Anolis sagrei: one gene and its partners. Each later gene encodes a partner of the first gene's protein in a complex. Links are inferred from orthologs where the notes say so. Each region holds a gene or a part of one and is shown on either strand. Other genes may lie near its edges.

The links.
Region 2: DHX16 (region 1) and CWC22 share a complex: the UniProt entries of both Homo sapiens proteins name them as parts of the minor spliceosome. The link is inferred for Anolis sagrei from reciprocal best matches to the Homo sapiens genes DHX16 and CWC22.
Region 3: DHX16 (region 1) and CWC27 share a complex: the UniProt entries of both Homo sapiens proteins name them as parts of the minor spliceosome. The link is inferred for Anolis sagrei from reciprocal best matches to the Homo sapiens genes DHX16 and CWC27.

What each region holds. Positions count from the first base shown.
Region 1 is NC_090022.1:23,746,714-23,754,959, reverse strand, and holds the start of DHX16 (pre-mRNA-splicing factor ATP-dependent RNA helicase DHX16), read right to left. Parts: upstream 3,446-8,246; 5' UTR 3,398-3,445; coding exon 3,194-3,397; intron 1-3,193. UniProt on the Homo sapiens protein: Required for pre-mRNA splicing as a component of the spliceosome. Contributes to pre-mRNA splicing after spliceosome formation and prior to the first transesterification reaction.
Region 2 is NC_090021.1:188,703,101-188,711,172, forward strand, and holds the start of CWC22 (pre-mRNA-splicing factor CWC22 homolog), read left to right. Parts: upstream 1-4,560; 5' UTR 4,561-4,619; intron 4,620-6,520; exon of another isoform or gene 6,521-6,566; intron 6,567-7,327; 5' UTR 7,328-7,429; coding exon 7,430-7,456; intron 7,457-8,072. UniProt on the Homo sapiens protein: Required for pre-mRNA splicing as component of the spliceosome. As a component of the minor spliceosome, involved in the splicing of U12-type introns in pre-mRNAs. Promotes exon-junction complex (EJC) assembly.
Region 3 is NC_090022.1:268,457,366-268,465,241, forward strand, and holds the start of CWC27 (spliceosome-associated protein CWC27 homolog), read right to left. Parts: upstream 3,513-7,876; 5' UTR 3,375-3,512; coding exon 3,333-3,374; intron 1-3,332. Other genes in the region: protein SREK1IP1, read left to right, coding at 4,980-4,992. UniProt on the Homo sapiens protein: As part of the spliceosome, plays a role in pre-mRNA splicing. Probable inactive PPIase with no peptidyl-prolyl cis-trans isomerase activity. As a component of the minor spliceosome, involved in the splicing of U12-type introns in pre-mRNAs.

The DNA.
Region 1 (8,246 bases):
GTGTCTAGGCCAGTGTGGTGTGTGGTGTCTAAGAACAGCTCAAGTTCCTGAATGTCCTTAAGGGTGTTAATACGGTCCTCGAGTTGTCGTATCCTGTGTTCCATGCGAGTGATCTGTGTACACTTGGGGCAGATGTAATTGAGTAATTGCAGTGCGAAAAAGCTGAACATGCCACAGCTTGTGCATGAGATGGGAAGTTTTCGTGTTTGTTCCATCTGGAGGTTGCTAATGACCTCCTCTTGGTGTGTGTTTGATGTTGTTGTCTGTATGCAGGGGTGAAAGTATAGGTTACTGAGTGTATGCCCCTTAGGTTCAGACACTGGTTTATATAGGATAACCAGGAAGCCCCGCCTCTGAGACTCAGGAAGCCCCTCCCCTCAAACAGAGCAGTTAATTTTCAAACTCAGGAAGCCCCGCCTCTCAAAGAAAGCAGCGCTGAAAGCTGTTAAATTTAAATAAAGCTTACCCTGAAGCAGAAGGAAACAAAATGGGTTCCTGCTTTCTCAACTTCTGTGGAAAGCCCAGCTGCCCCTTGGGTTCAGACACCGGTTTATATAGGATAACCAGGAAGCCCCGCCTCTGAGACTCAGGAAGCCCCTCCCCTCAAACAGAGCAGTTAATTTTCAAACTCAGGAAGCCCCGCCTCTCAAAGAAAGCAGCGCTGAAAGCTGTTAAATTTAAATAAAGCTTACCCTGAAGCAGAAGGAAACAAAATGGGTTCCTGCTTCCTCAACTTCTGTGGAAAGCCCAGCTGCCCCTTGGGTTCAGACACTGGTTTATATAGGATAACCAGGAAGCCCCGCCTCTGAGACTCAGGAAGCCCCTCCCCTCAAACAGAGCAGTTAATTTTCAAACTCAGGAAGCCCCGCCTCTCAAAGAAAGCAGCGCTGAAAGCTGTTAAATTTAAATAAAGCTTACCCTGAAGCAGAAGGAAAAGGAGGAGAGAGTCTTCAACCTCAGCAAGATGGAGTGGATGAGGGATTGGAGGACATCCAACCCCAAATTGGGAAAGAAGTCGTCCAGGAATACCTGGCCGCTCTTAATGAGTTCAAGTCCCCAGGGCCAGATCAACTACACCCAAGAGTACTGAAGGAACTAGCGGAAGTCATTTCGGAACCATTGGCAACCATCTTTGAGAGTTCTTGGAGAACGGGAGAAGTTCCAGCAGATTGGAGGAGGGCCAATGTGGTCCCAATCTTCAAGAAGGGAAAAAAGGACGACCCAAACAACTACCGTCCGGTCAGCCTCACGTCGATACCGGGCAAGATTCTGGAAAAGATTGTTAAGGAAGCGGTCTGCAAACACTTAGAAACAAATGCAGTCATCGCTAATAGTCAACATGGATTTATCAAAAACAAGTCATGCCAGACTAATCTGATCTCTTTCTTCGATAGAGCTACAAACTGGGTAGATGCGGGGAATGCCGTGGATGTGGCGTACCTGGATTTCAGTAAGGCCTTCGACAAGGTCCCCCATGACCTTCTGGCAAACAAACTAGTCCAATGTGGGCTAGGCAAAACTACGGTGAGGTGGATCTGTAATTGGTTAAGTGGACGAACACAGAGAGTGCTCACTAATGCTTCCTCTTCATCTTGGAAAGAAGTGACAAGTGGAGTGCCACAGGGTTCCGTCCTGGGCCCGGTCCTGTTCAACATCTTTATTAATGACTTAGATGAAGGGCTAGAAGGCATGATCATCAAGTTTGCAGACGACACCAAATTGGGAGGGATAGCCAATAGTCCAGAGGACAGGAGCAGAATTCAAAACGATCTTGACAGATTAGAGAGATGGGCCAAAACTAACAAAATGAAGTTCAACAGTGACAAATGCAAGATACTCCACTTTGGCAGAAAAAATGAAATGCAAAGATACAGAATGGGGGACGCCTGGCTCGAGAGCAGTACGTGTGAAAAAGATCTTGGAGTCCTCGTGGACAACAAGTTAAACATGAGCCAACAATGTGATGTGGCGGCAAAAAAAGCCAATGGGATTTTGGCCTGCATCAATAGGAGCATAGTATCTAGATCTAAGGAAGTAATGCTACCCCTCTATTCTGCTTTGGTTAGACCACATCTGGAATATTGTGTCCAATTCTGGGCACCACAATTCAAGAGAGATATTGACAAGCTGGAATGTGTCCAGAGGAGGGCGACTAAAATGATCAAGGGTCTGGAGAACAAGCCCTATGAGGAGCGGCTTAGGGAACTGGGCATGTTTAGCCTGAAGAAGAGAAGGCTGAGAGGAGATATGATAGCCATGTATAAATATGTGAGAGGAAGCCACAGGGAGGAGGGAGCAAGCTTGTTTTCTGCTTCCTTGGAGACTAGGACGCGGAACAATGGCTTCAAACTACAAGAGAGGAGATTCCATCTGAACATTAGGAAGAACTTCCTGACTGTGAGAGCCGTTCAGCAGTGGAACTCTCTGCCCCGGAGTGTGGTGGAGGCTCCTTCTTTGGAGGCTTTTAAACAGAGGCTGGATGGCCATCTGTCAGGGGTGATTTGAATGCAATATTCCTGCTTCTTGGCAGGGGGTTGGACTGGATGGCCCATGAGGTCTCTTCCAACTCTTTGATTCTATGATTCTATGATTACTACGAAACCATTCAGCGTCGTCTCATCGTCCAAATCACAACCCAGTATCATTTCCCGTTGTTCCATTCCTATAGCCATTACCAATCATTGCACTTCTTGTTCGAACACTTTCTTGAACAGTCAAGTCTTTAGCTTACTGCGGAATATCATCAAGGAAGGAGCCAGTCTAATGTCCACGGGAAGGGTGGTCCACAGCCGAGGAGCCACCACCGAGAAGGCCCTATCTCTTGTTGCCCCACCCTGTTCATTCCACAGATATATAAACCTTTTTTTCCTAGTTCCAATAGACCTCACTACCTCTGAGGATGCTTGCCATAGATGCAGGCGAAACGTCAGGAGAGAATACCTCTAGAACATGGCCATACAGCCCGAAAAAACCTACAACAACCCAGTATGAAGAATAATTTGATTAAATAAATAGCCTTAGCCTTAGAAATAAATTGAAGATAGTCTTAGTGTTAGAAGAGTTTAGCCAAGAGAAACACATACAGTGTTGTCAAACTGCATGCAGCTCCTGCCTCTTTACCCCGCCCCTTTCCACCTACGCCCCGCCCCTTTCTACTTAAGCCCCGCCCCTGTTGAGTGATTGACATGCTCACCCGCTCCCACAGCTGCTGGGCGAAGGCGCGGGCGGGCGGGTCGCTCACGCGGAGGGTCTCGGTCTCTTCGAGGCGGGCGAGGAGGTCCTCGGGAGTGCGGCTTCGGGTGGCCAGGCCCACCATGAAAGCCACCACATGCCGCTCGCTGAGGCCCAGCAAAGTATGCAACTGCCCGGAGACCCAGCGCTCCAGCTCCCCCGCCATCGCCTCCTTCGCCTCACTGGCAGCACTTCCGGGCACGTGCCCCGCCAACCAATCCGCGCGCTCGGCGACGGGTCGTTAAGTGGGACACTAGAGTGCCTTACCTTCCGGGACGGTCCTGCTCAATGAGTGGCTCGCCAGTTGTCATGGCAACTGCCTATGGCGCGCTGGGATTGGGCAGTTGAGGGCAAGGCTTATAGAATGATCAGCCATAGAGCCCTGAGGCCTCCCTCTGGTCTTTGGACTTCATCTCCCAGAATGCCTGCTCACTGGCAAAGGCAGTTGAGACTTCTGGGAGTTGGAGTCCAAGCCCAAGTTTGCCCAAGCCTACAAAGGGCAAGTGGGGTTTATATATTTGTCTCTTGTCTGTTTGAGGCAACTGTGAATGTTGCAGTTGGCCAGCTTGATTAGCCAAGTATGTGGACCATTTCAACAAGAAGAGGAAACCATGAAAATGAACAAAATCTGGCTAGCAATATTTAAAAAAAATACTCTGGAACCAGGACAGTAAATAAAGAGCAACACTCAGAAAACGGGAACTCCAGACAAGAAACAATCAGGGCCAGCTTACACCTCCCCGCAAAAGCTGGGTTGCAGCTAAACATAAAAAAACCAAGATTATGGCAACAAGAATGATTGACAACCGGAAAATAGAGGGAGAAAATGTGGAGGCCGTGACAGACTTTGTATTTCTAGGCGCAAAGATGCAGACTGTGGCCAGGAAATCAGAAGACGCTTACTTCTTGGGAGGAGAGCAATGTCCAGTCTCGATAAAATCGTAAAGAGTAGAGACATCAGACTGGCAACAAAGATCCGCCTAGTCAAAGCCATGGTATTCCCTGTAGTAACCTACGGATGTGAGAGCTGGACCTTAGGGAAGGCTGAGCGAAGGAAGATCGATGCTTTTGAGCTGTGGTGTTGGAGGAAAGTGCTGAGAGTGCCTTGGACTGCGAGAAGATCCAACCAGTCCATCCTCCAGGAAATAAAGCCTGGCTGCTCATTGGAGGGAAGGATACTAGAGACAAAGTTGTACTTTGGCCACATCATGAGGAGACAGCAAAGCCTAGAGAAGACAATGATGCTGGGGAAAGTGGAAGGCAAAAGGAAGAGGGGCCGACCAAGGGCAAGATGGATGATGGCATCCTTGAAGTGACTGGACTGACCTTGAAGGAGCTGGGGGTGGTGACGGCCAACAGGGAGCTCTGGCGTGGGCTGGTCCGTGAGGTCACGAAGAGTCGGAGACGACTGAACGAATGAACAACAACAAAAGCCTTGACCCTGATGGTAACCCTACTATGAAAGGTATTCAGGCAGAAAACAGACCCCAGACCAGTTAAGAGTTGCCATACCCTAAGCAAAAGGATCTAAAAGATCTGTGACTTGGTGAGTTAAGAGAATGTTTGTCCAAGTATGAATCTCTGCCATTACTAATGTCTGCAAGAGTAGCCTTTCTTGAGAACACTGGTGTGCTGTCACGCGCTGGGCCTATAGCAATTGGCTTTTGAACAGGACGTGCTCTTTGTACCCAGCGGGAAGCCAGGGTGCCTCAGCTGAGAGGCTCTAAGGATTTTCCTATACAAAAGTCTTTAGGAGCTTAAAAGGTTTAACAAAGTTCTTTATTATTGCTTAGGTCTTCAACAAACAATCAAATACTTTTTAGATCTTCAACAAGTCAAACAAATGCTTCTTATCTTTCCCACAAAGGACAGGCAACTGGCTTCGTGAACTGTTTCTTTCCTTTAAGAGGAAAATCCCTTTTAACCACTCCCTGGGGCAATCTGTTTTCTAGGCTCTGCTGGTGTGGGCTCTATTCCCAGCTCCAATTGCTTCTGGTTACCCAAGTAGACCTATCAGCCAAGACTTTGTAGATTTTCCAGCTAGAGTCTTTTTGGAATTTTTCCACAAATGATGTGGAGCTGTTTCTTTAACCCCAATAAGGGTTGTGCTGTCAAACTGTTTTCCTTAGAAGCTTTAGGGCTGTTTCCCCTGGATGTTGTGAGAAATGAAGCTTCTCTACAGGTGGGGAAAGCTCACGTCCTGTAACTAGGCTTCCAAAACTGAAAGACTGCCTGAAGTCTTTCTTTTCCCTCCCAGAGCCCTGGGGAAAGGGGCGGAACTAAAGAACATAATGATGATTGACGGGTCATTGGCCCTATAATTGCAGAGCAAGGGAAACCACCTTATTGCAAAATGCATAGAATCTTGGAATACATGCAAACACTCAATAGAAAAAAAATGTAGGAGCTCCTGGTGCAGCCATACCAGCACAACTGGTCTTCCATCTGGAGCACGGAAAAAGGTTTTCTGTTCAGCTACAACGGCAAATGGATCTCATTCTTAAGTTTCACGGACAGCTATAAGACGGATTTCTTCAGTTCTGCCTGCTATCTTTTTTGTTGTTTTTTAAGCACAATGGGCAGAACAGAAAACATACTAGGGTTGGATGAAAAGTAATGCCTCCACCTTTGTAACTCCTTAACAGATGGCAGTACTGGTATGTGGCAGGTAATGGCTTGTTCAGTAGACTCTCCTCTACAGTTCCATTTTGGCAGGAAACCTTTGCATTGAACGGTTGTGTTGTTAAAGTGCAAAGTATGGAACCCTGCGCAGACTGTTGGTCAGTTCGACTTAAGCAATGTGCAGTCATTGAATTCTTGACAGCAGAAGGTGTCACCCCAAAGGAGATTCACCAGAGAATGCAAGCTGTTTGTGGTGATTGTGTTGATGTGAGTACTGTGCGTCATTGGGCGAGTAAATTTAAAGATGTTGAGGTGGGAACATCTGACTTGCATGACAAACCAAGAGTTGGACATCAACCACCAAGTTTCACAAGCAAAAGGTTGACAGATTGATTCAGGATGATTGTCATATCATTCAGAGAGAAATTTCAAGCATAATCGGCATTTTGCAATAATGGGTGGATCACATTATTGCTTTAGCTTGGCTGTTGGAAGATCTGTGCTCAATGGGTTGCGGAAACAGAGTTTTGACTTCTTCCCTGAGAGCTTCAGAAAACTTGTTCATCGTTGGCAGAAATGTATCCCAATTGTCTGGTGATTTTGTGGAAAAGTGAATAGTGGTAGGTAAAGAGCACGTTCTAAGGATTATTTCTGCATTTGATTTATTAAAATATTCCCATCCAAACCCAAATAACAATGGTGGAGGCATTACTTTTCATTCAACCCTCATAACAATACTAAATGAATGCACCACCTCTCAGAGAAGTGATAGTAAAATCATACTTTTGCATAAGGAGGAAATCTTTTGATTCTTCAATAACTTCAGAAATTTAAATTCCTCTTCCCCTTAACAGAACGCAGTGAAGATATCTATAAAAGAATAAGAAGAGTTTTCAGAAGGCGACAATAAGACTAAACTGAGACTGTTGTACTTTGAACATATAATTTGATAATGTGCCTCACAGAAAAAGATGCTGGGTAAAGCGGAAGGCAGTTGAAAAGGGGGAAGACTGCTCTACAGGGGGTTTGATATAATCAAGGAAGTTACGACTCTAAGGGTGCATCTACATTGTAGAATTAAGGCAGTTTGCCCTCATTTCAACTGCCATGGCTCAGTTCTATGGAACATAGGAGTTGTACTTTCACAAGGTCTTTAGATGTCTCTTCTTCTATTACCTCACCAAACTACAATTCCAAGGATACCACAGAATTGAGCCAGGGCAGTAAAAAGGGGTGTCAAACTACATTAACTCAACAGTGTAGATACCACACAGGGGCCTTCCACACAGCCATATAACCCAGAATATCAAGGCAAAAAATCCCACAATATCTGCTTTGAACTGGATTATCTGAGTCCATACTGCCATATATTCCAGTTGAAAGCAGAAAATGTGGGATTTTATTCAGCTGTGTGGAAGGGGCATAGGTCTGCAAGACTTGAGCATAGCCCTTTGGAGGTCTCTCATTCATAGGGTTGTTATAAGATGAAGCCAAATGACTGCAAATAACAATAACCAGAACAAGCAGATCTGCTTTGCTTAAGCAAAGTCTTTCACTAAGTATTTTATTTCAAACACTGCATGAAGTAGAGCACAAGGGAAGTGACTTTCCTGTTGTTCTGTTCCCAGTATCCACAATTCAGAGGAAGTTTGTGATCTTAAGTTGCCCTTTAACAAACAAGACAACAGAGGAGCACTAGTTCAACGTGCAACATCATTCTGGTTTATTGTTAATAACAACGACAATAATAATTACATATAAAAAAAACACTGATGGAAATGGCTGGACGCAGCTGCTTCAGCCCTTGGCCCACACACACTGATCTTCACAAATGTCCTTTCCTCCTCAGAGGAACAGATGGTCTCCATCTTCAGTCATTCACTCGCTCATTCATGGGCGCCAGGCATAGCTGATCCCACAGTGCAAAATAAATGGGGAAATGATAATAAAAATGATGCACAATGACAAGATAAATTAGCCAGGAAGAGAAAGAAAGAAGGAACTGAAAATTTGCCTCGTTCCTTCCCACCTGTGCCTCTTCCTTCCAGTCGTTCCTACTTCCCATCCTCTCATTCCAGAATCCATTCAACATCTGCTCCTAACAAAATCATTTCCGGCTCTCATACATGCAGAATGAATCAATTCTCCCATTCCATATTTTTCCTGTAGATGAGTTGTGTGCCATATCTCCAATCTGGGGAATGTCCACTCAAGGATTTAGAGACACTACCCATTCAAGCTGATTGATTTTTCAGAATTGCATTGTCAGTTGCACAGAATGGTCCCGGGAGTACCATATATACTTCATGTATAAGTCGAGAACACGTTTTAGGGCCAAAATTACAGTTTCTGATATGAACCGTAGATAAGTTGAGAGGTATTCTGTGCAGTGA
Region 2 (8,072 bases), on another chromosome or scaffold:
GGGAATGCTGTGGATGTAGCATATCTTGATTTCAGTAGGGCCCTCAACAAAGTTCCTCATGACCTTCTTGCAAGTAAACAAGTCAAATGTGGGCTAGGCAATGCTATTATTAGGTGGATCTGTCATTGGTTAAGTGACTGTACCCAAAGGGTGCTCACCAATGGCTCCACTTCATCCTGGAAAAATTAAAACATTTAAAAAACACCAAGATATCTCTACCTTACATTTGAAGTCTATGTCATGTCATGAACACAGTAGGTTGCTGTTTCTCAAGTGAGTGACTCAGTAAAATTTGGAGCCCCCAGTGACGCAGTGGGTTAAACTGCTGAGCTGCTAAACTGCTCTGACAGGAAGGTAACAACACGCCATGCAGTCATGCTGGCCACATGACCTTGGAGGTTCTACAGACAATGCTGGCTCTTCGGCTTAGAAATGGAGATGAGTACCACCCTCCAGATTTGGACACGACTGGACTTAATGTCAGAGGAAAACCTTTACCTTTACCTCAGTGGAATTTAATGTGTGTGATGAAGTAGTAGGACAAAGTACTGTGAAGCAACTGGAAAACCAAGATGATGATATACTTATTCATCATTTTTTATTAGAGTTCTTCATTGTTGACTGGTATATCAGGACAGAAGAGGCTTTATGTAGGAAAGTAATCATTGGCAAGAGATAGCTAAGTTAGAACTGGAATTATTCTTAAAAGGTCAGAGATATGAGTGAGCAGAAAAGTTTGTGGTAGGTTTTGAAAAAAGAATCCCAGAGAGCTTATTACAATGTTTGGGAACATTTTGCTGATGCTGACCTCCATGAAGTAAATGGCACTTCTCATAATAATTTGAGGACGTTGGAGTCCAATGAAGGCAAAGGCATATTATATGCCATCTGCTGCAGGAAGAGTATTTTGCAAACAAATTGTTCCTTCTCTTTCAAAAAGTCAGACTTCCATAGGTGGTTTCTGTATACCGAAGCATCTTTAGTCTTGCCTTTCAGAAACAAGAAATGCAGGGGATAGCATTCCTGCGGTGAAAGTGCCTGCTGCTTCATCAGCAAAATGGTTTATAGCTACAGCATCTCAGGAGATAAGTGTTATATTTCCTCCTATGAGATAAGTGTTAACACAGTTAGTCCTTCTATGAGACAACTGAACTGTGGCAATTTCAGCAACATCTCACTGCGTTCAAATGGAAATGCTAATTAGCAGCACAGCATTTTCACCAGACAAGGCTTGCATGAAAAAATACTATCCTGAAAAGGCATACAGCCACATTATTATTTTACTGTTCCAGTCTTACAATCCTATTGCTTTTCATGTGCATTTTGGCTGACATTTTGGCCTTTTTGAACTAAAGGTTTTATTTTCTCAGCTAAGATGGCAACAACTTCCCAGCTATTGACTTCAAACTGAAAAATAGAGCTAAAGTCGAGAATCTGCAAGACGCCAGTTTTAAAGGAATTGCACTGGCTGTTTATATTCAAGCTGCTGGAAATAACATTAAAACCACGTTGGGACCTTGATAGATGACAGTGGGCCTGAGATTTGAAGTCTGCTGGAGGGGCCCTCCTTTGAGTTCCACTTGTCAGGCCAATACATTGTGGGAGGACATAAGATGTGGGGGGGAAAGGGGGAAAGGCTGGTTGCAAAAAGAATAATCCAACCCAAAATACGTTCTTTCTATCTACTATATTTGATCCACACTATAATATTTGAGTGTGTTTTTTCTGTGGTGACTTTTGGTTTCCTACCAGTGAAAACAGTGAGCACCCTGTCCTCCTGGCCAAGTTGCTAAATGCTTAACTCATATCTGCACTTCATTTTTTTTTTTTGTCGTGTCAGGAGACACTTGAGAAACTGGAAGTCATTTCTGGTGTGAGAGAATTGGCCGTCTGCAAGGACGTTGCCCAGGGGACGCCTGGATGTTTTGATGTTTTATCATCCTTGTGGGAGGCTTCTCTCATGTCCCCACTTGAGGAGCTGGAGCTGGTAGAGGGAGCTCATCCGCCTCTCCCCGGATTCGAACCTGCGACCTGTCGGTCTTCAGTCCTGCCGGCACAGGGGTTTAACCCACTGCGCCACTGGGGGCTCCATCTGCACTTCATGACTTGTCTTCTTCTGTCCCAAGGAATCAAGGCTAGAACTTCAGTGCAATGTTTTCCTCTGAGGCTGTAACTGATTTATACAAGATTATTTATTTTTTATTTGTGAATAAAATAAGGAAATGAATAAGGGAAGGGACCACGTGGTTCAGAGAGGGAACGGCACACTGAGGGCGGGAATATACTTCATAGCTGCATTTGGTGGAAGGATAGAAAGGAGGGGAGAGTTAGGATAAGGTTTAGAATAAAGTTTATGGTTTGGGTTAGGGTTAGGGGTTAGGCTTACGGTTAGGGAAAGAGTTAGGGTTAGGGTTTTTTGTTTTTCTGTTGCCATGTCAGGAATTACTTGAGAAACTGCAAGTCGCTTCTCATGTGAGATAATTGGCCATCTGCAAAGACATTGCCCAGGGGACACCCGGATGTTTTGATGTTTTACCACCCTTATGGGAGGCTTCTCTCATGTCCCCGCATGGAGAGCTGGAGCTGATAGAGGGAGCTCATCCATGCTCTCCTTGGATTTGTGAACCTGTGACCTGTCAATCTTCAGTCCTGCTGGCACAGAGGTTTAACCCACTGCGCCACCGGGGGCTCCAGGGTTAGGGATTAGGCTTAGGGTTAGGGTAAGGGTTAGGGTTTGGGGTTGGGTTTTACCATTAAAGAACTCTTGGTTATAGTATGATAGCTGGGTCTGGAAGCTCCGAGCATTCCAGAGATGCTGCAAGGCGGCTGTGAATAAGGGAAGAGAGGGAGCAGTGAGAGCGGGGAGAGCGAGGGAAGGATAGAGAGGAGAGGACGCTTAGGGTAAAGGGTAGGACAAGGTTTAGGGTTTGTGTTTGGGTTAGGTTTATGATTAGAGTGAGGGTTGGGGTTACATTTAGGGTACACTTTAGGGTTTGGGTTAGCGTAAGGGTTAGAGTAAGGTTTTGGTTTAGAGTAAGGGTTAGATTTAGAGTTTGGGTAAGGGGTTAGGCTTAGGCTTACGGTACGGTTCAGGGTTAGGGTTTCCCCATTAAAGAACTCTTCCATTCCTTGTATATTATCTGTCTCCGGCCTGGCTTACATTAGCTAAGTCTCTCTTGCGCAAACAGCGCTCCCGAAGGAGCGATGTGGCATCTCCATAACGCTTGGAGCTTCTGGACCCAGCTATCATACTATTACCAAAGTCTTACATCCCTTCTATAATATCTGTGTCCGGCCTGGCTTATATTACCTCAGTCTCTCACTCTGCCCCCGTCTCGGTCACGTGTTCTGTACCGTGTTACGCAAACAGCGCTCTCGAAGGAGCGAAGCAGAAATAGTGTAACACTCGGAGCTTCCAGACCCAGCAATCATATTATCACATGGCTTTGTCAAACTACAACCAAGGATTCCAAAGCATAGAGCCATGGTAGTTAAAGTGGGATCAAACTGCATTAAATCTACAGTGTACATGTAGCAACATAAGTCTTTGGCCTGCATGAGAACACACAGGAATACATCGGTGGCGCAGTGGGTTAAAGCCCTGTGCCGGCAGGACAGGTTGCAGGTTCGAATCCAGGGAGAGGCGGATGAGCTCCCTCTATCAGCTCCAGCTCCTCATGCGGGGATATGAGAGAAGCCTCCCACAAGGGTGATAAAAACATCAAAAATCATCCGGGCTTCCCCTGGGCAACGTCCTTGCAGACAGCCAATTCTCTCACAACAGGACACTCCTGAAACGACAAAAAAAAATTGCAGAAATGTTTGCCTAAGAATCCCTTTGGAAGGGGACTAAACATGATTTGTTTACAAATGTGCATGTTAGCTAGGAATCCATAAGCATTGAACGCTAATCATATAATTGAAACCCAATTGTCATATTTATTTATTTATTCATAGCAGCACAATCATTAGATTTGGTTAAGGATGTCCTGCCAAAACAAAGGTTGTGGAGTCTAATCAACTTTTTCCCATGTTTTGATGATAGAACCAATTAGGAAATGACACTTTATAGCCCAGGAACAAAAATCACTTTACATAAAATTAAAGCTAGATTAAGGTAAAGGTTTTCTCTTGACATTAAGCCCAGTCGTGTCCGACTCTGGGAGTTGGTGCTCATCTCCATTTCTAAGCCGAAGAGTCGGCGTTGTTCGTAGACACCTCCAAGGTCATGTGGCCTGCATGACTGCATGGAGTGACGTTTAAAGCGAGATTAACATGGGAAAATAACCATCAGAAAGGAAGGAGGGAGTCTTTGTTTGTGTGTCTGCGTTTTGTTGTTATTTTATAATGTTTTGTTCTGTTTTTATATAGTTCTTGTTCTCATGTGCGCGCGAGTTTCTTTGTGAATAGTAGAAATGGCTTAGTTCTAGAGCTGACTCTGTCCTAGTGACGTCACTAGGGCCACAGATCCCCCCCCCCGCCTAGAAATACAATATTTATTCCTTCCGGAAGTCCCACCTTCTGTTTTGTAGCTGATTGGCAGGCGAATTGGCGGAAGTGGCGTCATCGCAGCAGCGTCAGCTCGCGCGCTCAGTAATGGCGGAGCTCTGGAGCTGACGGTAAGTTGTGGGGAAGAAAGGGAAGCGGAAGTTTCAGTTTGGGACCCTTCCTCTCTCTCTCTCTCTTTCATTGTCTCTCCGTTCGAAGGGAGGTGGCGGGAAAAGGACAGGAGTTGCTTGGCAACGGCCTTCCCGTTTGGGAGGGCGAAAAGGCTTCACATCTGTTCACTGTTCGCCTTAGTTCCCACTCCCTCTCCCAAGTTGACTCCCCAGGCCGCTTGAACTCCCAGGACTCGGTGGAAACCTGCGAGCTGTGGGTTGATGAGGCGCCGGCGCTCTTCAGGCGAGAAGGCTCAAGGCCTTGTTAAACTACGACTCCATTGCATTGAGCCATCGCAGTTACAGTTGTGTCACACCTCATTAAACCTACACTGTAGCGAAGAAAGCTGAGAGGAAGAAAATAAACACGTCAAAGTGTGTTCTACACTTCTTGCATAGCCAAAAAGACAAATCAATGGGTCCTGAAGCAGATTTGATAATCTGAATTATATGGTGATAGCCATCCCCAGCCTTGCGTTGCTGTGGCCCACATGGGGGTTCTGTGTGGGAGGTTTGGCCCAATTCTATAGATGGGGTTCAGAATGGTCTGTGATTGTAGGTGAACTATATATCCCAGCAACTATATATCCCAGCAATTCCTGCTTCTTGGCAGGGGTTTGGACTGGATGGCCCATGAGGTCTCTTCCAATTCTTTGATTCTAACTACAACTCCCAATTGTCAAAATTCTATTTTCCCCAAACCCCACCAGTGTTCACATTTGGGTATATTGAGTCTTCGTGTAGAGTTTGGTCCAGATCCATCATTGTTTGAGTCCACAGTGATCTGTGGATGTAGGAAAACTACAACTCCAAAACCAAAGGACACTACCCATCAAACCCTTCCAGTATGGGAGAACTGTGCCAAGTTTGGTTCAATTCCATCGTTGTTGAGGTTCAGAATGCTCTTTGATTGAGGTGAACTATAAATCCCAACAACTACAATTCCCAAATGACAAAATCAATTTTTTGCATGAAGGACATACGTTGGGTTGTTAGGTGTCTTGTGTCCAAATTTGGTGTCAATTCGTCCAGTGGTTATTAAGTTATGTTAATCCCACAAATGAACATTACATTTTTATTTATATAGGACTAGCTGTCCCCTGCCACGTGTTGCAGTGACCCAGTCTGTTGATCTGGAAAATAAAGTCATGAGAAAGTGTTGGTTTCTAATATATGTATTTCCTTTATGATTGTGAGTAAACAGTATTTCTTGTTGTTTCTTTGTCAGTGTTGATGTGGAGAGTGTCTGGTTTGCTTACTCTGGAATATGCAACATGGACATTGTCCTTCTTTAAGGGTCTCTTTCAAATCTATGATACTATATCTGTGTGTGAGAGAATCATATCTATCTATCTATATTTATGACTGGATGGGTCTTTGTCAGAAGGGCTCTGATTACATTTTCTTGCCCTGGTGAAGAGAGTTGGACTGGATGGCCTTAAGTATTTTCTGTTGTAAACTCCATCTGTGTTCATATTTGGGCATATGGAATATTCATGCCAAGTTTGGTCCAGATCCATCATTGTTTGAGTACATAGTGCTCTCTGGATGTGGCTGAACTATAATTCCCAAACTCAAGGTCAATGACCACCAAACCTTTCCAGTTTTTTCTGTTGGTCATGGGAGCCCTGTGTGCTAAGTTTGGCCCAATTCCATCATTGGTGGAGTTCAGAATGCTCTTTGATTGTAGGTAAACTATAAATCCCAGCAACGACAATTCCCAAATGACAAAATCAATTTTTTTTGTGTGGTGGACATACATTGGACTGTTAGGTGTTTTGTCCAAATTTGGTGTCAATTCCCCCAGTGGTTTTTGAGTTCTGATGGCAGCATGAACTAACACTACATTTTTATTTATATAGATTGTAGATCCACCTTGAGTCTGCAAGGGCTGTTGTGGATAGTAGGGTGAGTTGCATGCCTTTTATGCATGGGGTCACCATAAATCAAAGTTGACTTTGTAGTAATTAACAACAACAACCTCCACCACCCTATGTCAGGCTATGCAGATGTTATTGTTTCTTTACTGTTATTGGAACATATAGAAGAGGGAATTTCAGTAGATGTTACTTGCCCCATAGCTGGGTAACAGTCAAAAACTTCCTGAAGTTTCTACACAGCCATTAAAGGAATAGGAGCCCTCTCTAGTTTTCAGTCTGGCTTCCCTAAATTGGAGGCTGTTTTGCAGGGTTGGGTGAATATGCTTCTTTGCCTCCTCTTTCCTCAACCTCTCAATGCCATGGAATAATTTCTTCTGCGACGTGTCACTTCGGATGTGCTGACTTGCTCATTTCTCGCAATTTGTGTGAATATGTATGTGAATGTATGTGAGATCAGTAAATGCAAACCAGTTTTCCGATATCTAACCCCTCCAAGCTGTAATCTGGCCGTGTGAGTTGTACCCATAACTACATCTTTCATCTATGGCATGGTGTGCCTTTCTTTCTGTCTGCCTTGTCTTTTGCACTTCTGCATTTTTTGTGGCTCCACATCATTTTCTACACACACTGACTAATGAATTACCAAGAAAATAATTTTGTGGGTATTTTTAATCTATGAACATTTTTGACAGGTTATAATAGGTCTAGATTAAATAGGAGACTTGCAAAATTGCCTTAGTTGCATTTTCTGGTGTTTTTTTTAAAAAAGATGTTGTTTTTTATTTACAGATGAACTGTTTTGCCTGGAAGAATAACAAATATCCTTCAACTTGATTTCTGCACATTGTTCATTATCAATTCAAAGCTTGTAGTGGATCAAGAGGAAGAAAAATGAAGAGTGGGGTGACACAGGTGAATGTAAGTTCTTTATTGGCTCTGCAGGTTGGCATTGGCTTCATTGGCTTTGCAGGTTGGCAAGGAAGATGGTTGTTACTTCTTTCATAGAAGGAACAAGGTAATGGAATGAGTGACCAGTTTCCTGCTCTTTTTGTGTATTGCCATGTAAAGTGATGGCGGAGGAGAAAAATTAAATGGAGTCTGCTTCCCTGCTTATTCACATTCTCATTGAGAACCATGAACACTTTTATGTGTGCAGAAGATGAGAGAGCAGCCAGATATGCATGTGCTGCTCTTAAAAAAAAGAGGACTGATTCTTGGCATTTTATCTAGCTGGCACCAAATCCCATCTGATATTGGAGGAGATATAACTAGGACCTGTTCATTTCAGTTATGTTCAATTAACATTCATTTCTTTGAAACCATAGTGAGTCAGATTCAACCTGCAGAAAAGGTGGAAATGTTGTATCCAGTGTAAATGAGTTCTTTTAGAAGTGAGCTATGGGAACACCGACTCCTCCTAATTATTGGACTGCTGCTCCCATGAACTCTAGTCACCATAACCAGTGGTGAGGGATGATGAGAGTTGAAATCCAGAAACATCTGGAGAGCTGCATGTTCCCCATCCATGGACTAG
Region 3 (7,876 bases), about 240 Mb from region 1:
TTTATATGGCAGTGTAGAAGGGGCCTTAGTAGGCCATAACTGAGTCAAAAGTGTGATGCAGCAGTTTAAAAAGCCTGGAGGGCCAAAGTTTGCCCATGCCTGGGCTAGCCTATATTTCAGAGGAAGGAACTGGCAATGCAATCTAGGTTGCGTCAACAGGAGTATAGTGTTGTGATCGAGGGAAGTCATAGCCTCACTATATTCTGCTTTAGTATGAACCTCGTCAGGAACACTGTGTCCAGTTCTGGGCACCACAATTCAAGAGAGATACTGACAAGCTACCACATGGCCAGAGGAGGGCGACTCAAATGACCAAAGGTTTGGAAGACAAGTCCTATGAAGAGTGGAAGTTAGGAATGTTTAGCTTGGAGCAAAGAAGGCAAAGAAGGGGACATAATAGCCATGCTTAATTATTTGACAGGATGCCACATTGAAGAGGGTGCAAGCTTGTTTTCTGTTTCTTGACAGAAAGAGCTGCTCAACAGTAGAACATGCCTTGGAGCATGATGGAGTTTCCTTCTCTGGAGATTTTTAAGCAGAAGCGGGATGGCCATCCGTTGGGGGTACTTTGATTGTGCTTCTCTTACATGCCACAATGGGGTTGGACAGGATGGTCCTTGGGTTCTATTCCTACTCTACAATTCTATGTAACCAGGCACATCTGCCCTCCTGCTTGTTGCTTCCCACAAAACATGCAATGGTCACATATGGGAGGCTTCAGGAACAGTCAGTTAATCTGGAGAGCATTTCATAAAAACTTGATGCACTCAGTTATGTCTTTGTGTTATCCCTAACAAAGGGGTTTAGTGCACCTGAACCAGGTAAGAACACTGAATAGGAGATCAGAAACATTTTTTTTAGCTGCAGTGAAAAATGTGTCTGGGTTCCAAGTCCATAAAACAGGCATGGGCAAACTTCGGCCTTCCAAGATCAAATGGGATCTGGTGCCGACTGTTAGGAATTATGGGAGTTGAAGTCCAAAACACCTGGAGGGCCCATATTGGCCCTTGCCTGCCATAAAACATACACAGACCCCGTTTAATAACGAAGAATAAACCATTTACACATTTCTGAATGTACATTACAAACCGTAACTTGATGCATCAGATACATCCCATTTCTTGTCACATCTGCACTTGACAGGCCACATAGGCACATCCAATGATGCCTTTTATTTAATTAAGTGCTCGGAGTAATTAAATCCAGCATTCACTACTCTGACTAAATAAAATGTACATCCAATTTGCTTATTCCCCACACTGTTGAAATGACATCCTTCTTCAAGCCTTCTCTAGTAATGTTTATCTATTATCCCGTTGCTTACTCTTTATATGTATGTTCTGGTATGCAGCTTCCTTTGCTCTATGGTTCTTAAGAAGTTATAAAAGGGGCTGTAGACCCCATGAGCTATAGCAGACTGCAGACAGACAGACTATTGCAGACTACAGGCCACATGATCATAGCAGATTACTACAGACTGCTGATAGCAAACTTCAGACCTCAGATCACACACCTGTTGTTTTGCTATAAGAAGTGTTCTGGCCAGATAGTACAGAGAATTATCTCAAACATATCTGAAACTGGACTGATAAGTTTTGCACCTGTGTATGCTGAACACATGAAGGTTGTGAGTAAACCAAATATGTTATTTTTATCCAAGTCTACTTAATCTTTGTCTCTTGAGTGTATGATATAAAACAAGTTGGGTTGCTGTGAGTTTTCCAGGCTGTATGGCCATGATCAAGAAGCATTCTCTACTGATGTTTCGCCCATCTCTATGGCAAGCATCCTCAGAGGTTTTGAGGTATATTGGAAACTAAGCAAGGGAGGTTTATATATCTGTGGAATGTCCAGGGTGGGAGAAAGAACTCTTGTCTGTTGCAGGCAAGTGTGAATGTTGCAGTTAATCACCTTGATTAGCATCGCAAATCTTCGCAGCTTCAAGGGCTGGCTGATTCCTGCCTAGGGGAATCCTTTGTTGGGAGGTGTTAGCTGATTGTTCTTTCTCCCACCCTGGACCTTTCACAAATATATAAACCTCCCTTGTTTGTTTCCAATATACCTCACAACCTCTGAGGATGCTTGTCGTAGATGCGGGTGAAACAACAGGAGAGAATGCTTCTGGAACATGGCCATACAGCCCGGATAACTCACAGCAACCCAGTATTTCCGTCCATGAAAGCCTTCGATAATACATAAAACAAGTTGTTTTATGGGGGGAGTATATTTTTGGGCACTGAAAAACACTTCTGAAGCACTGCTGTTGGAAAAAGTATGATAGCTGGGACCCTATGGTACGGTACTTGTGCAATGCGGGTCAGAATGAACGATGGGAAGACGTGCACAACGTGGGTCAGAATTAATGAAGGGGGGGGGGCACAACAAACAGCCAAGCATAGTGCTTAAGGCGAGTGAAGTAATGTTAGACTTATTTACTGTGAAATGATAAACAATGGTTTACGAAGAAGATAAACGGGACAGAAATGTTTCCTCTCCCCCTTTCTGGCAAACAATGTTCCCACAACTTCTTTGGAGGTTTTTAAACAGAGGCTGGATGGCCATCTGTCAGGGGTGCTTTGAATGCAATATTCCTGCTTCTTGGCAGAGGGTTGGACTGGATGGCCCATGAGGTCTCTTCCAACTCTATGATTCTATGACTCTGTCGCAGTTGCGTCTCTCACTCGCTGCGCTGTCATGCGCACGTGTTTCCCTCATTAAGTCATGCCCGCATTGCACAACCAGCGTAGGATCCCAGCTGTCATACTTTTGCCCTGCTGTTTATTTATGCACTGGCAAAATCTGTTTTCTAACAGATCAGCGATAACAGGTTATTCAGTCTAACAACTGAAACTGATTACCTTGCATAATTATATCTGGTTGTATACCACAAGAGAAGAGTCTACACTAAAGCGTTTTTGACTCTTCTCTGAAAGGTCATGCTTTTCTTAAAAAGTTACGATCTCCAAATGACGTTTTCCAAAATGTTATGAATGCCCTTTTCCAAAAACTCCACACAAACATAAGCTGGCATGGCAAGAAACAAAATGTAGATTAAAAATTAACATCAAAGACCAACAGCTTTGCTATTAGGCTGCATCTACACTGTCGAATTAATGCAGTTTGACACCACTTCAACTGCCATGGCCCAGTGCTATGGAATGGTGGGAGTTGTCGTTTGGCATCAGCACTCTTTGGCAGGGAAGGGCAAAGACCTTGTAAAACTACCAGGATTCCATAGCATTGAGCCATGGCAGTTCAAAGCGGGTTCAAACCGCGTTAATTCCGCAGCGTAGACGCACCCCAGCTCTTCCTCTCCCGAAATGGGCCCTCACCTTGCCGTTGGTGGGCGGCTCTTGGATGTAGATGTTGCTCATGGCGCTGCCTTCGGCCCAGTCCTTTGACAGGGAAGAAAACACGGAAGGAAAGCGCTTTCGCTTCGGTTTAAGCAAAGCTCCAGGGCAAACCTCCCGCCATCTTGGAAAGCGGGCGCGACCACTTCGGCAACGGGGGGGAGAGAAGAGAGAGAGCAACGCTGAAGGAAAGCCAAGTCTCCAAACCTTGTTATTGGAACCTGGCTCGGCGTCTCACAATATGTAACTTGTTAAGGCAGTGGATGGGAGGATATGGATCGAATCCGTATCAGTACTTATCTCATAACTCGGGAGGCCTCCCCCATTGGATATTGGAACAGTCCAAAGTGCGTTACCTAAAGTCTTCCGACTGAACACCGCCACCCGAAACTTTCTATCCGCCTCGGAGCAGTGAGCTGTAGATTGAGCCCGGCTGGTGTAATGATGACATAGGGAAGGAGTGGGCGGAAAGAATGGGTCGCGCGTGCGGTGTAATTGGTTGAGCTTTGTTCAATGTCTCTGGAGACGAGGCACAAACTAAAGTCTTCTTTGACTCAAATGTATAACACTTTTCTACTCCTTCAGGCAACAAACTTTGCTGCGCTCCTATTGGTCCGAATAGTGAATAGTGAAAAGACCAAGGCAGTGACATCTCTGGCCCATCCCCTGTTTGGGTATCAGCCAGCACGCCAACGACTTAAATCTAGACATAGTTTTCTTAGATCTACAGAGACACTCGCTGGAACACCTCAGCAAGTGAGAGTCCAAAAGTGGCAGGCTCAAACCCAGCACTTCAACCAATGGCTGATACCAAATGAGAGACTCCCTCCTGGGCACACAGAAGACTGGGCGACTTGGAAAGCGCTGAACAGACTGCGCTCTGGCACCACGAGATGCAGAGCCAACCTTCAGAAATGGGGCTACAAAGTGGAATCCTCGACATGCGAGTGCAGAGAAGAGCAAACCACTGACCACCTGCTGCAATGCAACCTGAGCCCTGCCACATGCACAATGGAGGACCTTCTTGCAGCAACACCAGAGGCACTCCAAGTGGCCAGATACTGGTCAAAGGACATTTAAGCAACTACCAAACTCACACATTTTGTATTTTCTCTGTTTGTTTGCTTTGTTCTGTTAGAAATGTAATATAATTGACTGGATACCAGGTCTGCAAACTTTGTGTTTTGTTTGTTTGTTTGATTGATTTTAACGCAATACAACTGTTTTGGTTCACTCCTGGCAGGATAAATAAATAAATTCAACAAGCCCGCCTTCTTTCGTTGGGATTGGTTCATGGGAAGGGGAACATTCCATTACCAGACTAGGGGGGGAGTGTCCAAAGGAAGAAAGGAGTTAGAGTTGAATGACTCCGCGGTGAAAAAAGAGAAGGGACTGTGAAGTAAGCCATAATGCTTTAAAACATAGTTGAATACTGGCTGCCTAAGAGTCTCCCCTCTTCTATGTAAGTAAATATTTCTCCCTTCTTTCTCCCCCCCCCCTCCATTGCAGATGGTGGTAAAGCCCTCAGTGCTCTGGTCCCAGATTTCCGGCGGGGAAGCGTCGCTCTCGGGAAGTTGTTCCTGGAAGAGAAAGGACCCTGGGTTGAGCTCAGGCTGCTAGAGTTGCTGCATGGCGCTGCCAGGTGAGCTCTTCATATGCAACAAGCCACGTGTTGATAGTTAATTCTGTTACTCAGATTAGAGATGGAAGGAAACAGAGAAGAGATGGGAATGTGTCCAGAGGAGGGCGACTAAAGTGATCAAAGGTCTGGAGAACAAGCCCTATGAGGAGCGGCTTAAGGAGCTGGGCATGTTTAGCATTCAAAAGAGAAGGCTAAGAGGAGACATGATAGCCAAGTGAGAGGAAGCCACAGGGAGGAAAGAGCAAGCTTGTAGATTAGAGATGAAAGGAAACAGAGAAGAGATGGGAATGTGTCCAGAGGAGGGTGACTAAAATGATCAAAGGTCTGGAGAACAAGCCCTATGAGGAGCGGCTTAAAGAGCTGGGCATGTTTAGCCTGAAGAAGTGAAGGTTGGGAGAGGAGACATGATAGCCATGTATAAATATGTGAAAGGAAGTCATAGGGAGGAGGGAGCAAGCTTGTTTTCTGCTTCCCTGGAGACTAGGATGCGGAACAATGGCTTCAAACTACAAGAAGGGAGATTCCATCTGAACATGAGGAAGAACTTCCTGACTGTTCAGCAGTGGAACTCTCTGCCCCGGAGTGTGGTGGAGGCTCCTTCTTTGGAGGCTTTTAAACAGAGGCTGGATGGCCATCTGTCGGGGGTGCTTTGAATGCAATTGTCCTGCTTCTTGGCAGGGGGTTGGACTGGATGGCCCATGAGGTCTCTTCCAACTACGATTCTATGGTTCTATAATGGGATAAACCCTTGTGCCAGCAGGACTGCTGACCAAGCGGTCAGTGGTTTGAATCCGGGGAGAGCGGGTTTAGCTCCCTCTGTTAGCTCCCTTGCAGAGACATGAGAGAAGCCTCCCACGAGGATGGTAAAACATTAAACATCTGGGCTTCCCCTGGAGAACGTCCTTGCAGATGGCTAATTCTCTTGCACCAGAAGTGACTTGCAGTTTCTCAAGTCGCTCCTGACACACACACACACACACAAATCCTGAGTTCGATAAAATGTGGATTATTTTCCATTCATTACAAATACAGCAGGCTATCAGTTAACCTGCACCCATCAGATGGAGTTTTTGTTTGCTTGAGAGTTACAGTGAAAAATATGCCTCATGCTATACCATATCATAAACTCTGTATTGACTTGATATTAATGTTAAAATACAGTAACTGAAAGCAAATTAAGACACACACAGTTTTACTGTATTCTAAATACAGCTTTGTGAATGAATGATTAATTCTTTGATTTTAGTTTTGCTGGTTGCTTGAGAGTCTGCTGTACATGGATCTGCAATGCAGTGTTACTTTTATTATAAGTGGAAAGAAATGCATCATATACAGTTGGACCGCTTCTCCCATCATCCATTACCATGGCTTACACTAGTGAGGGTTGGTGAGAGTCCAGCATCATTTGCAGGACTACATGTCCCATACTCTGTCTGAAATGCATTTATTTATTCGCTTCATTTATACCCCACCTTTCTCACTCCATTGGGCGACTAAGGCGGCTTACAGCCCCGGCAAAATTCAGTGCTGCTTGAAACACGGCCATAAAACAAATTCAATCAACTAAACAATTAAAACAGTTAAGCAAATAAATGCATTCACTAATAATAAAGTTAAAAACATATAAAGTGCATAGTAAGTAAAGGTAAAGGTTTTTCCCTGACATTAAATCCAGTTGTGTCCGACTCTGGGGTGTGGTGCCTATCTCCATTTCTAAGCTGATGAGCCGGCGTTGTCCATAGACACCTCCAAGGTCATGTGGCAGGCATGACTGCATGGAATGCCATTACCTTCCCACCGGAGCGGTACCTATTGATCTACTCACATTTGCATGTTTTCAAACTGCTAGGTGGACAGGAGCTGGAGCTGACAGCAGAAGCTCACACCGCTGCCCGGATTAAAATCTGCTACCTTTCAATCAACACGCTCAGCAGCTCAGCGCTTTAGCCCACTGTGCCACCATAGTACCATTCATGAAATGCATTACATTAAACAGTGCACCTGGTTATTTATTTATCGTGTCATCAGCAACCATACCATGTGAAACTAATTGAAATATATTATGTTGCTGTGATAATGAAATTAGTGTGAATTTCTAATGATGTTGTCCTTTGTTTTACTAAAAATGTAGGCTTCTCTCTAAGTGTGAAGTGATTAAAATAAAGCAAAGGGTAAACCCAAAGTTAAGATACTCTAGTCTTCTGTATGCACTTCTTAAAAGAAGGAAACAAAAGGATTCATCCTTGGTTGTTGGAATGGCCTGAAAGATCATTGGTGTTTCTTCTGCCTGGAGTTTTTTTCAAAAAGTGTTTTTGTTTCTAAGATTAACATACCAACTTTAAATCAAATGAATCTTAAAAGAGTTATAGGTTACAGATAGAATCATAGGGTAGGAAGAGACCCCTGTGGTCATCTAGTCCAACCCCATGCCAAGCATGAATTCACAATCAAGCTCTCCCAAAAGATAATCATTCAGCCTCTGTTATTACACTTACACTGAATGAGACTCTGCCACCCTATGAGGTAGCATAATTCAGTGTTGAACAGCTGTTGTCATCAGGAATTTTTTCCTAAAAGTTTAGATGGATTATTTTTTCCTGTAGTTTGAACACCCTAACTCCCACCTTCCAAGTGTCACACAATTCATTCCTAGGATCAGCATGTTTCTCTTTTGTTCTGTATCCAGAAACTGTTGAAAATTGGAATGAAATGTTCTTTCTGGCAGGGAAAGGAAGCCATCTGCGAGAGCTGCGTCTTCTCAAGCCAGTTGCTGCAACTCGGCTGAACTCCCTGCTGGAATATTCTTCCTTGGAGAAATGTGCTGTGTCCTCATTGTAGCTTTTAGTATCTTGTTAGAAGCCTGAGTTTAGTTGGGGATATATTT